Linked DNA regions of Caenorhabditis elegans. The protein of the gene in region 1 purifies or fractionates together with the protein of each later gene. This does not show direct contact. Each region holds a gene or a part of one and is shown on either strand. Other genes may lie near its edges.

The links.
Region 2: the proteins of T22C1.9 (region 1) and T10D4.11 fractionate together in Caenorhabditis elegans (co-fractionation; one large-scale study listed by BioGRID). This does not show direct contact.

What each region holds. Positions count from the first base shown.
Region 1 is NC_003279.8:7,955,235-7,961,503, reverse strand, and holds T22C1.9 (uncharacterized protein), read right to left. Parts: upstream 2,858-6,269; 5' UTR 2,796-2,857; coding exon 2,691-2,795; intron 2,647-2,690; coding exon 2,559-2,646; intron 2,223-2,558; coding exon 1,861-2,222; intron 1,631-1,860; coding exon 1,598-1,630; 3' UTR 1,346-1,597; downstream 1-1,345. Other genes in the region: T22C1.12 (C6 domain-containing protein), read left to right, coding at 44-316, 971-1,099; T22C1.8 (Protein-tyrosine phosphatase), read left to right, coding at 3,185-3,323, 3,372-3,526, 3,678-3,858, 3,904-4,291, 4,397-4,596, 4,644-4,753, 4,801-5,370, 5,415-5,447.
Region 2 is NC_003280.10:3,146,742-3,152,005, reverse strand, and holds T10D4.11 (CW domain-containing protein), read left to right. Parts: upstream 1-2,384; coding exon 2,385-2,499; intron 2,500-2,545; coding exon 2,546-2,685; intron 2,686-2,732; coding exon 2,733-2,968; intron 2,969-3,014; coding exon 3,015-3,058; intron 3,059-3,106; coding exon 3,107-3,249; intron 3,250-3,295; coding exon 3,296-3,498; intron 3,499-3,558; coding exon 3,559-3,574; downstream 3,575-5,264. Other genes in the region: T10D4.19 (T20D4.11-like domain-containing protein), read right to left, coding at 1-88; T10D4.14 (G_PROTEIN_RECEP_F1_2 domain-containing protein), read left to right, coding at 291-380, 430-508, 553-670, 728-785; T10D4.1 (DUF19 domain-containing protein), read right to left, coding at 1,317-1,514, 1,562-1,701, 1,758-1,866; T10D4.15 (CW domain-containing protein), read right to left, coding at 5,241-5,264.

The DNA.
Region 1 (6,269 bases):
TATTCATACCTTCCTGAAATCATTTACTGTTTGTCAACTGAACATGACTATTGGTTCTATATTTCTGGTTGCTTTTATAATTTCTTTGGTTCAAGCTGAATCGGTCCCTGTAATGTGTAAATGTCCGGTACTGAAACAAGTGGATGCGGAAGTTTATGCAAAAATGAGAGCACAACAGAATATGTCGATTGGTGAGATTCCAAAGTTTGCACCATTGGATATTGATTATGGAGATGATTGTACTCAAGTTTCAATTACTTGTTTATATCCACGTTTTACAAGACATCGATCTTCTGTATATTATACCAATGGAGTTGTAAGTTTAAGAAATCTTCAGTAAAAGTAGGAGTGCTGTAGTTTTGAAAGAAAAATCAATTGTTGTCTTGGAATGGATAGTATTTAGATAGGGGATAGTGAAGGGAGGAGTAGAGTAGGACTGAATATGCAAAATATACTATTGAGAAAGAATTATCAACCCGCAAATATTTTACATAACCTGAAAAATCTGAAAACAGGAAGCTAAATAATTTAAAACAAATGTAAACTGTTTTCACATGCTAGAAAAACTGAGAAAAAATATTCTGCCCCGGGCGGGATTCGAACCCGCGACTGGTTTAACCCAATGAGATCATAAGTCTCACGCCTTCGACCGCTCGGCCACCGGGGCACTGATTCTGAAAAATGTGCAACTCATTGAAATCGAAGTTATCAGATAACTCTCGGATTGAAACGTCTTTTCTGTAAATATTTTATCGAGTTGAATGAAAAAAGACACTAATTCAAGCAGCTTTTGATTTAGTTGCCTTTTTTATAGAGAAGAAAATATAGTTTGTTTGAAGTGTAGGAATGGAGTTAGAATCCGATCTTCTAAAAGTATTTGTTTAAATTTCGAGAAATACTCGTTGTTTTCTAATTTTAATTATGTTTGCTGTTGTGAATCTCAAATATTATAAACAAGTTTCAATTCCAGAATTTCTCAACAGTTCGCCGCCATGATTTGTCTGATAAGTACAGTATCCGATGTAACCAAATGACAGGAGTTTGGCTATCAGACGAAAATTCCGAGATTAGTTATGTGCCTATCGTCCGATGCTTGTGAACAAGGTTTTCTCTGGAATTTGGGAAGAGTTTAGCCATTTCTTCAATGTGATCTGGGATATCTTGAAGACTAACTTCGGATTCCTAAAGTTTATCGTTGGCTATGAATAATTTTGTTCGAAATAAATATGTTTCATCATCTGATAATGGAAAATTAAACTGAATGCAGTACGATTTTTCAGAATTTTAGATTCATATTTCGATTGTTATTTTGAACAGGAAGAACTCACGGCATTCATTTATTTAATCGGCTGTATGATTTTATTGAAAAATTCAAATATCGTGTGAAAATCAAGAAAAAAAGTAGTAAGTTGAGGATATAAATTGCAGTTTAAAATTTGAAATTTTCCTGGTAATTGGCTCAGAAGGTGTTTAAAATAAGTAGAATGGCATTTGTGAACAGTTTCATTCATAAATAAAGATGCTCTACAGTTCTATAAGTCTACAAGTTTGGAGCATTCAACATTTGCTATTCTTTGGTGAAGGTGAAGAGAGTTTGCTACTTTTTGAAGTTGAAGAAAGACTTGCCCAGCTGTAAAAATATTTCATTAAAAGTTTCCAATTGTTGGCAGCAATATTTTCTTATTTTCTTTGTGCTCATCAAAGCTTTTTCTACGATAAGCGGCTCAGGTGCCGCTCCAAACCACGCAGGCAACGCCTACAACCACGCTCAAGACTGCCAGCTTCTGCGTGGTCTAGACGCGTTGCCTGCGTGGTTTGATTTATCTGAGGTACCTTCAAAATTCAACGATTAAAAAAAACCTTTTTAAATCCACTCGGCTCGTGTTCCTCTTCAGAATTATGTTCCATCTGAACAACATGAGAATCTCGTCCTCCATCGTTTCGATCTTTATTATCATCCTTTTGATCACCATGAACATCTTCCTTCTTATGATCATCATGTCCTACATCTTTTTCAGATTTCTTGGATTTTGTAGACTTCATCGACTTTTTCGATCTGATACTTTTGAAGCTCTTGGCCAACGATTCAGCTTCACCCAATGCACCTAATTTTTTACAAGTCTTTTCTGATTTTTGAGCCATTTTGGGATCCGGTTTCTCTTCTCCATCTTTTGTCACAACGGTACGCGCTTCAAACGATGGATGGTTACATTCTTTACCCTCTGAAAAACATCCAGTTCTAAAATTCCAACATACACATTTTGATTGTTTCTTATGGGGTTATTCAAGTAGTGTCGGAAAATTAAAAAGTGTAGAAAAATTACGTCACAACTGTATTCAAGTATATAAAAACGTGTATTTAAATACATTTGTGAGGTCACAAATGTATTTAAATACATTTTGCTACATTACTTAAATAACCCCATTAGAGATCTTTTGCAAAAAATATCAAAGCACCACCTAAACCAGAGCTAGGATTCTGAGAGCAAAGAAAATCTTATCTGAGCAAAAGCCTGACAGGAAAAGTTCCACAGAATATTAGAATATTCTAATATTACTTTTCAATCTCCACATAGCACACATAAACCAAACAGCACAGCTCAGAGTACAGAAGACAAATCCAACAGAAATTACAATCCAAAACCACTGAAAAATTTCAAAAGATTAGAAGTTTTTAAAAATGAACTTACCATTGGATAATAATGATGATCGTATATATCAATTGTGACATTATTACCGAGAGTCAAAACTCTTTTAGTGATAAGTGAAGACGAAGTATTTGCCGGTTTTACCATCTCTCACTTTTGAAAAGTCAGGAATAAATTTGATTGTTCGAAGTCGTAGTAGATTTGTAAATAAGATTGTTTAAGTTCGTTGGCAGAAATAAAAGTTCACGCATTTCAGAAATGTGAAATTTAGAAAATGTTATTTTCGTAAAAACGTAAAATACAATTACAACAACATATATGTATATATTTTTTTAATTTGAACTTCCACGTCCCCCCCCCCCTCCTTATTTGAAAGTTGTCAATATCAGAGATTAGTCGAAAGTTGAATTATTTCTACATTTGTCTTCGTCAGCTTCGAACGAAGAAATCAAAATAAAACCGACGCTTCTCGAAAAAAACGAATCGTTCCGAGATAGTGTAATCCATCAATCAACGGATCAGTGAACTGAAATAAAATGCAACGAAGAAAGGGAACACGTGGAAATTCGCAGGATGATCAACAGGCATCTCGACGCCTTGCGAAAAAGCCATCTGACGAAAAAGTTGATGAAAAGGATAAAAAGAAAGGAGGAGTACTGAAAAGATTGGGATTTCGTGAGTTTAATCATACAGTATTATTTAGAAAAATCTGAATTCTTTCAGTTCTTCACAATGAGAAAAAGGAAGAGGTTGGAAGCACCCAGAAAAGGAGAAAACCAAAAAGAGGAACCGAACGGAAACGAGCATGTTCTCATCCGGTCTGGAATCCTGACAAGAAGATCCACTTCAATAACGAAAAAACGCATGCCATAATCCCGGTAAATACTTTTGGACTTTTTGGACGTTAATTATATTATTATACATTCCCGTATACATCGGGAAGGGTGCAGGTAGACTGAGAGACCTCGTCCGGGTGGAAAGTACAATAAAAAGAGAAAGCACTTCTCAATCCGAATTTATGATTTTCAGTTAAAAGGCGATCCACTGTCGGATGTACAGAAGAAGGTTTTCTTCAAGTTTGCAAGTGATGCTGTCAAGAAGAATCCTCCAGAGTACTCAGTCGAATTCATGACAAAAGTGAAACCATATCCTGGTCAGCCAATGGAACGGAAAATCTTTGACGCGAACCCAACAAAGAATCGCTATAAAGGTATGAAATATAGGAACTTGAATCGAATTAAAATTAATATTTCAGATGTTGTTTGCAATGACATAACACGCGTGATTCTCAGTGATGGTGGTGATGGAGATTATATCCATGCAAACTATGTAAATGGTTTGAACGCTCCGTTCATTTTGACACAAGGCGCCACTGCAGCAACTGTCATTGATTTCTGGAGAATGGTTGTTCACACGAAGACTGCCTACATTGTGATGCTATGTGAGGTGATGGAAGACGGAAAGGCTAAATGTGCCCAATACTATCCGGAAAAAGCTGGAGAAGCAATGACTTTCGGAGCATGGACCATTCTGTGTTCATTGGAGGATGATAAGGATGCGAATATCATCAAAAGAACATTATCAGTTAGAAATGTGGACAATGGGAAGGAACATATTTTGAAGCATTTGCATACAAAGTCATGGTAAGCCACTGATCTTTACAGAACAACATTCGGTTTAGTGTCATTGAAAAACCAAAATCAGAAAACTCAAACTGAAAATCTTTATAATAATAGAATTACTTTCAGGCCTGACCGTTGTGTCCCTAACTCTACGATGGCTTTGCTCCGAATGCTCTACATTGTGCGCACAGCTTCCGGCCCAGTCACTGTTCACTGCTCCGCCGGAATTGGCCGAACAGGCACTTTTGTTGCGATTGAAGCATGTCTTCAAATACTGACGGATGGGAAAGAACTGGATTTGCTGGGAACTTGTAGAGCCTTGAGAAGTAAGTTAATATTGAAATGATGATTTTTATTAATCACGTTTTTTAAGACAGCCGAGCCGGAAGTATTCAAGTTGACATTCAATACATGGCACTTGTGCAGATTCTGATCAACTACGGAAAGGATAATGGCTACTGGGATGACTCGGATTTAGATGATGTGAGTGTGACTTCAGTGGAAAGCAAGGTTTATGTATTATATTTCAGAGAGTTGAGCTTCTCACTTGGAACATCCAGCAGTTCATCCAGACACGTGGAAAAGTGGATCACGTACCAACAACACCATCCACACCAGCACTCAACATCATTCCAGCTGATGCCAAGCCTGTTCCAGTTGTTCCAAAAGAAGCTACTCCACATCATTCTCCAGCAGAAAAAGCACAAGAATGCATGGAAAAGATTTGCGAAAAGATTCTGAAACCTATCAAAAAGGACAAAGAATGCAAAGAGCACAAATCTCCGAAGACTGAACATCCAAAAGAATGCAAAGATCATCCACTTCCACTCGAAACAAGATCTTCTTCGGAAGATGGACCTGATATGGAAGACCAAAAAACTCAGGCGACGCAAAAAGTTGAGATCAAAGAGGAAACTGCTGCCCAGAATGACAATATCAGCATGATCTCTCTTCCAAATGAACCACTTCTGTCGATTCCCGTTGTGAGAAAGAACAGTAAAGATGGTAACAAGGACAGTTGCGATACGAAAGAGAGCAAGGAAACAAAGGGACACGAGAAGAAGAACTCCAAGGAAGGCAATTTCAAGCTGGTGAAAAAGGTATAAAGTTCGAATGTTTGTAGTCGTAACTAATTTATTTTCAGCAATCTGCCAACCGTAGTCAATACTTCCTGTAATGTTCTGCCATTACCAGCCCGCTCTTGTGATCTACTATCGAGTTCCCAAAATTTTTTTCCTTGAATGAATGGTTACTTGTATTTTTTGAGTTTTCACATTTGATTCATCTTTGCGACCAAAAAATTAGACATCCGGTAACCTTTGTCCGAGTGGAACAGCACATATTCACCTCATTCTCGTAGTTAGCTCCGTCACCTTCAGTCTTATTCTCCTCTTCGATCGAAAATCGCTGATCTTCTTTGAACAACGATACGATTGTCGGAGAGCGGTCTAGAACACCTTCAGCTTCATTCTTCTAAATACTTTCAAACTATTTTCAGTCAGACATTTGTAAAAGTTCAATACTTTATTTTAACTTTTCAAATAACCAACTCCATGATATATTATTATATTTGTTTTTTTTTCTTCAGTAATCACAGTACAGGGATACAGTTATCAACATGATTTGCTTCAAGAAACCGCAAAACCTGAGGTTTTGGAGGGCTCTGTGCATCCAACAAAAAGAAAAAAAAAAGAAAGACTGCCCTTTTTAGAAAAATTTGAAAAAAGCCTGAAAACAAACTGTGAATTTTAAAATTATCAGAAAATTGGAAAAAACGTATATTTTTTTAAATGAGATCGTCGCTTAGCTTTGTCTGAGGGTCGTCATGCTCGAAGGATCGGCGAATCTGGAAAAATCACATGCCCTACGGTGTTCAATTTTAGATATCGGGAAACAATAAATAGATCTGAAGAAAAAATCCCTGTTTTGCATTTCAATAGACTTTTTCTTTGTTTTCGTAGTTCTTCAAGTATTTCAATCTCTTCCTGTTCTCCACATA
Region 2 (5,264 bases), on another chromosome or scaffold:
GGACATTGTCAATGTCATCGTCAGAAGCCAATGGTGCTCCGAGAATGGCTCCGATAAGGATTGCGGAGAAAATAATGAACTTGATCATTATCTGAAAAAAAAACGTAAATTGGATAAAATTGAGTAGGACTGCCTAAGGGGAGGGGGCTCAGGGTCAACCAAAAAATAAATAGGTCAAGGATAAATAGGATAAATAGGATAAATAGGTAAAGGTCAAGTAAATGTTCTTTGTGTTTACAGTGTTTGGGACCTTTAAGACAACAGTTGTCATATCATTTCTAGTTTTTCGAATGTATAATGCGTTAACTGCGGTTCAAAGTCAATTGTCCAAGAGTGCCATGAGTAGGCATAAGATTGCTCTGAGAAGCCTGATAATGCAGGTACAGTGCTAAAAAGTAATAAAGCTCAAATTCCAATTCAAATTTCCAGTTCATGACTACCCCTGTCTCGTTTATCCCAGCATTCATGCTATTCGTCGTGACAAACTTTCCAACCAGATACTCACAAGGTTCGTCTCTCCACTGCATTTCGGGAAGAAATATGCATTTTTAGAGATTTCCCGGTACTCAATGATGATAGCAACTACACACTCCACGTTGAACTCATTGGTAGTCATCACAACGTATCCAGAGTTTAGAAAGATCTTCTGGAAACGGAATAATGTTATACAGTGAGTTAAATTTAGAGTTTGTGTTTTGGGACTCGTTTGCTAAAAAAATCTTTACAGAAGCTCTTTTCTGATATCATCCACGAGGCCGTCTGGTTCGAATCGGAACATTGTCTAACTTTTGCATCGGCACATCGGCATATGCCGACCTTTTTTTCGGCACTGTTCGGAATATTCACCAAAATTAATTTTTTAAACTCATAAATGCAAAGAAACTTCAAAAATTGATTAATATGTACGGAATTTATCATGTTAATTTCAATTTTACTAACTTCAATGGTAAAAGAATTTGATTTGTTTAAGAAGCTATTTAGTTTCTTTTCTAATGTGCCGAAGTGACGAGTGCCGATCGGCACAATGTGCCGACTTTTTTTTTTGAAAACGAAAGCACCAAAGTCATACAGCACAGGGCTGCCTTCTGTATCTGTGTATGAAACGGTATAAGGTCCGTCGATGGTGCACTGAATAAATTTTCCACCGCTTTTGGATTTATATACTTTGTTATCAAACTTAACAGTGTGTTAGTCAAGCTGAAATCATTTATTATTTTTAAAGCATTTCAATTAGTTTATTCCAGGTTTGAGCTCACTCAAGATGGACACTCATCGCTGGAATATTGTTAAATTAATCATGTTTTCACCTTTACCACTTACCACAATACAAAAAAGACCTTGGATTTCAGCCCATTAACAGTGTCCTCTTCGACCAGGCTGTTTGAAAAGTCCGATCCTCTATAGACAGCTCCTCTTGGATATTTTGTGATGTACCATTCATTATTTTCACAGATCACGCCGCATTGTGTAAAGATGTCAAATGGGCCGGCAGTACCAAGAACAGCTTGAACAGTCTGAACCAGGAATCTAGAAATTTTTACTGAAAGCATGGAAGACTCACTCCAAGGCCCGTAACGTCATCATCTGGCTTAGGAATTTCGGATTCTCTCCAACGAAAGGCAATTGTAGTATGAGTACCTGGCACGCACGTCGCATTCCGATTGCATCCAGCATTTTCCGTGTAAAATATGTGTTCTTCATCTATGTAGAAAAACGATTTGGTGGAGGAAAAGGTAGTAGGTAGTGCAAAAACTTACTTGTTATTAGATCAAGAAAGCTTGGACACTCACAATCGTCTTCGCATCCATATTCGTCTTCGCAGGCAACATAGCAAATGAGAAGTAGGAAAATGAGATATTGCTTCATTTCGACCATAGACAGTATAGTTTTGAGTGGCTTTTATACGGTTAGCTGATCAATAATCTTGTTAAGTGTTACTTTCCAAATGCAAATTAGAGTATTTAACCAAACATCAATGCTTGACTACTTCCGGCTTTGCGGAAATTTAAAGTTATAATTCAAGAATATACATAGACCATAATTTGAAAAGTTTAAAACTTTTTCCCATGGAAAGCAACACACCCAAGATTGGCTTACAAAAGTTTCATTAGTGATGAAAAGCGTGATAACTAAAGGGTAGGTAGGCGAATCCTTCTACCTACCTTTCTTGGTATAAGTTGGTCTGATGTCGACAAAATCTTTTTATCCGGCTCTATCTTAAAATGGCAACTGACCGAACATCTTTTGTGTTAATTAATCAAAATGTCTACAGTATTGATCTCTGGTGCTCCAACATCCTAGCTATTAACATATTAACAGATCAATTTACGAACCAACTCGGTGAATAAAAGGACAGACGTTTAGAGAATTGTTCACATGACAACATGAAAATCAAAATTTTTGCTTTTCTGGTCATATTTTTTTCGTGTTTCTGCATGGAACGTCTAGCATGTCAGAACCAGAGTTGCCCGTGCTCCAATCTCTATGACAACCTGAACGGTAAGCCAGCTGCTCTGACAGTTTAGTCGTAACTAGATGTATTCAGATGCAGAAAACACGGTATACTACGAGGGGCTAGGTTGCTCCAGAACCGTATACTGCACGGTCGGCTATTGGACGTGGCTAACTTTGTCCTGGGAGTTGTCCGACATACCCACTCCAAGTGACATTTACGAGGATACATTTGTGAGTTACAAGCACTTTAACACACCCTCAAGATTGATTACGTTTAGTTTGCTTTCACTTGGAATCATACAGACCCTATGGGGGTTTATGCCGGGGGTCCTATCACTGACCTGGTCTCTCTGTTGGGAATGCAGTGTGACCGCAGTACAAGCCAGTGGATTGTGACAAGATACCCATTTGGGTATTCCTATTTCAATCAAAACGATGAGAAGATTGTTATTGATGGGTACAGCGTGGAAGGCGTCAGATCAATAGTTTCGTCGACGGATTCACGATTTTCTTGGTACCCGTGAAATAATACGATTTAAAAAAATATATACAAGTTTCAGCGCAAATATGTGCAGATGTTCAGACCTGATGAGCTTGGTCGAGGGTATTTAAATTGGTGGGCTAGCTCTCAAGCCAACTTAATTGATTTCAGATTCGTCTGAAAATATTCTGTACACCTTTAATGGAAATCATTGCAGTAGCAATTTCACTTGTAATGCAGACTCCCAAACATTCATCCGATCTAGTTTTGACGGGTCGGAGATTCCTGGTATTGGTAATCGTACGGGTGCAATGGTAAGGGAAACCAGAATGCATCATCAACTTGACTAAACAATCTCAGCTGATTCCCACGATTCCCGAAGAAGATCAGCCAGAACACTCCTCTATAAACATTATGGTCGAACTCGGGATATATTGTCATGAAGGGGAATGGTATGTAACACAATATCCGTATGGAGTTACATACATGGATGATACTGGAACGAAATACATCACCGGAGAGGATTGGGGAGGGAAGAAATCTAAAGTTCTTGGGTTCAGATGGTAAATGATTTTGACTTTAGGTTATTTTGAATTTAACTGATTGTGAGTTTGATTTTTCAGTACAAAGTGGCCTTGAACTTCGTCGATTGTAGCAATAAATAATGTCCATGTAGACTATTGTTAAGATATCAATAAATACAATAGTCCTTCCGCACTAGACGCAGACCACATATGATGTGCAACTAATTTTATTTTGGCTTGTTAGAATGTAAGAATGTTGAAGACTGCAAAACTAATTGAGAAAATTTTGAAACACAACAGTAGTTTCTGGACAGGGCTGCCTTCTGTATCTGAATATGAATAAGGCCGCCTTTGAACCGCCAATAAGCCACTGAATATATTCTCCACCACTTTTGGTTTATATCTTTTGTTATCAATCCTAAAAGTGTGTTAGTCAAGCTGAGATCGTTTATTAATTTAATTTTTAAACGGTTCAAAAATTTGGAAAATGGGGGTTTTATTTCTGAAAGTTCTTGAAATTTGATATTATAGATCTGAGAATAAATTGTAGAAAGTCTTGAGTGGATAACATTTTTTTAACCTTTTTTTTGAGAAGTCGGGGGGGGGGGGCAGTACTAATAGAATACGGTTTAATTCAAAGTACACTGCATTCGTCATTATGTTCTTGAACAGAAAGCACACATAATTCAACAATCGTTTTAACAAAATTTCAGAAATTAAATCTTTCATCAAACAAATCTGTCTACTTTTTGACCACCTGTCAATTTTTACATATTCCGTAATAAAATTATGTTTTAAATTCAGAAAAGCTCAACATTTGCAATAAAATAGCTAGACAGTTCTGAAAGAAGAAGGCGATTATTATAGTACGTATTTCAAAAAAAAAAGGATCTTTCAGAAAATCCACATTAGTTTCGTTCTTGCGTCCCATTGGTCAACCGCGGAATTGAGAGATGATCTTCACTATTTTGTATTGTATTATTTTTTTAATGACGCCACGGGTGCCTGGGTCGTTGTAAGCGTGTAAAATACATGCAAATCTTCAACAAAAAACATTATGTTTTAAACATTTATATTAACGTTTTTGCAACGACATTGAACAATGAGTGTATGATAACCATTTATTACGACAATCGACACAATACACGACTTCTGTCCCTTTCACGGCCATTCTTTGCTGAAATTGGTATTTTATTTGTTAATGACGTAATTTAATTTCAGAGTACCAAGACATTGAGATAAAGGTGGATCTGACGTTGTCAATCTTTTCATTAACGACAATCTTTTTGCCTCTATTGTCGAAATAATAATACCCGAACGGGTATCTGGTAATGTACCAGAAATATGCAAAACATCTGTCATTGACAAGCGACTTCGTATCGCAGGCACATTGTATTCCCAACAGAGATACGAAATCAGGGTTAGTGGGCGGAAGTTGATTATAGAGCGTTCGATTCCACATTGAAGCATACTGAACTTGAAAAAATTAGCGTCTAATGCTTTGCGGAAATGTCAACGTTTGGCATTTTTTGTGACAAATCAAACTAAAAGACCTTTCAAATAATTGATGAATTATTGAAAAAGTATATATTTTTAATTTTTCTATAAAAAATTGGTTACTGTTCCAAAGTTGAGGGAAAAATACGGTAAGTGTTTTGAAAAACTGAAAAACGGAAACTTTTTTGAATAAGAATATCATTCATACTGGGGTGCACGGCAATCGAATTTCAGGCAATTTAGGTAATTTCGACAACTGCCGGAATTCCTGATAGTAGGAAATTCTAAAACCCAAAGTTGCAAAAATT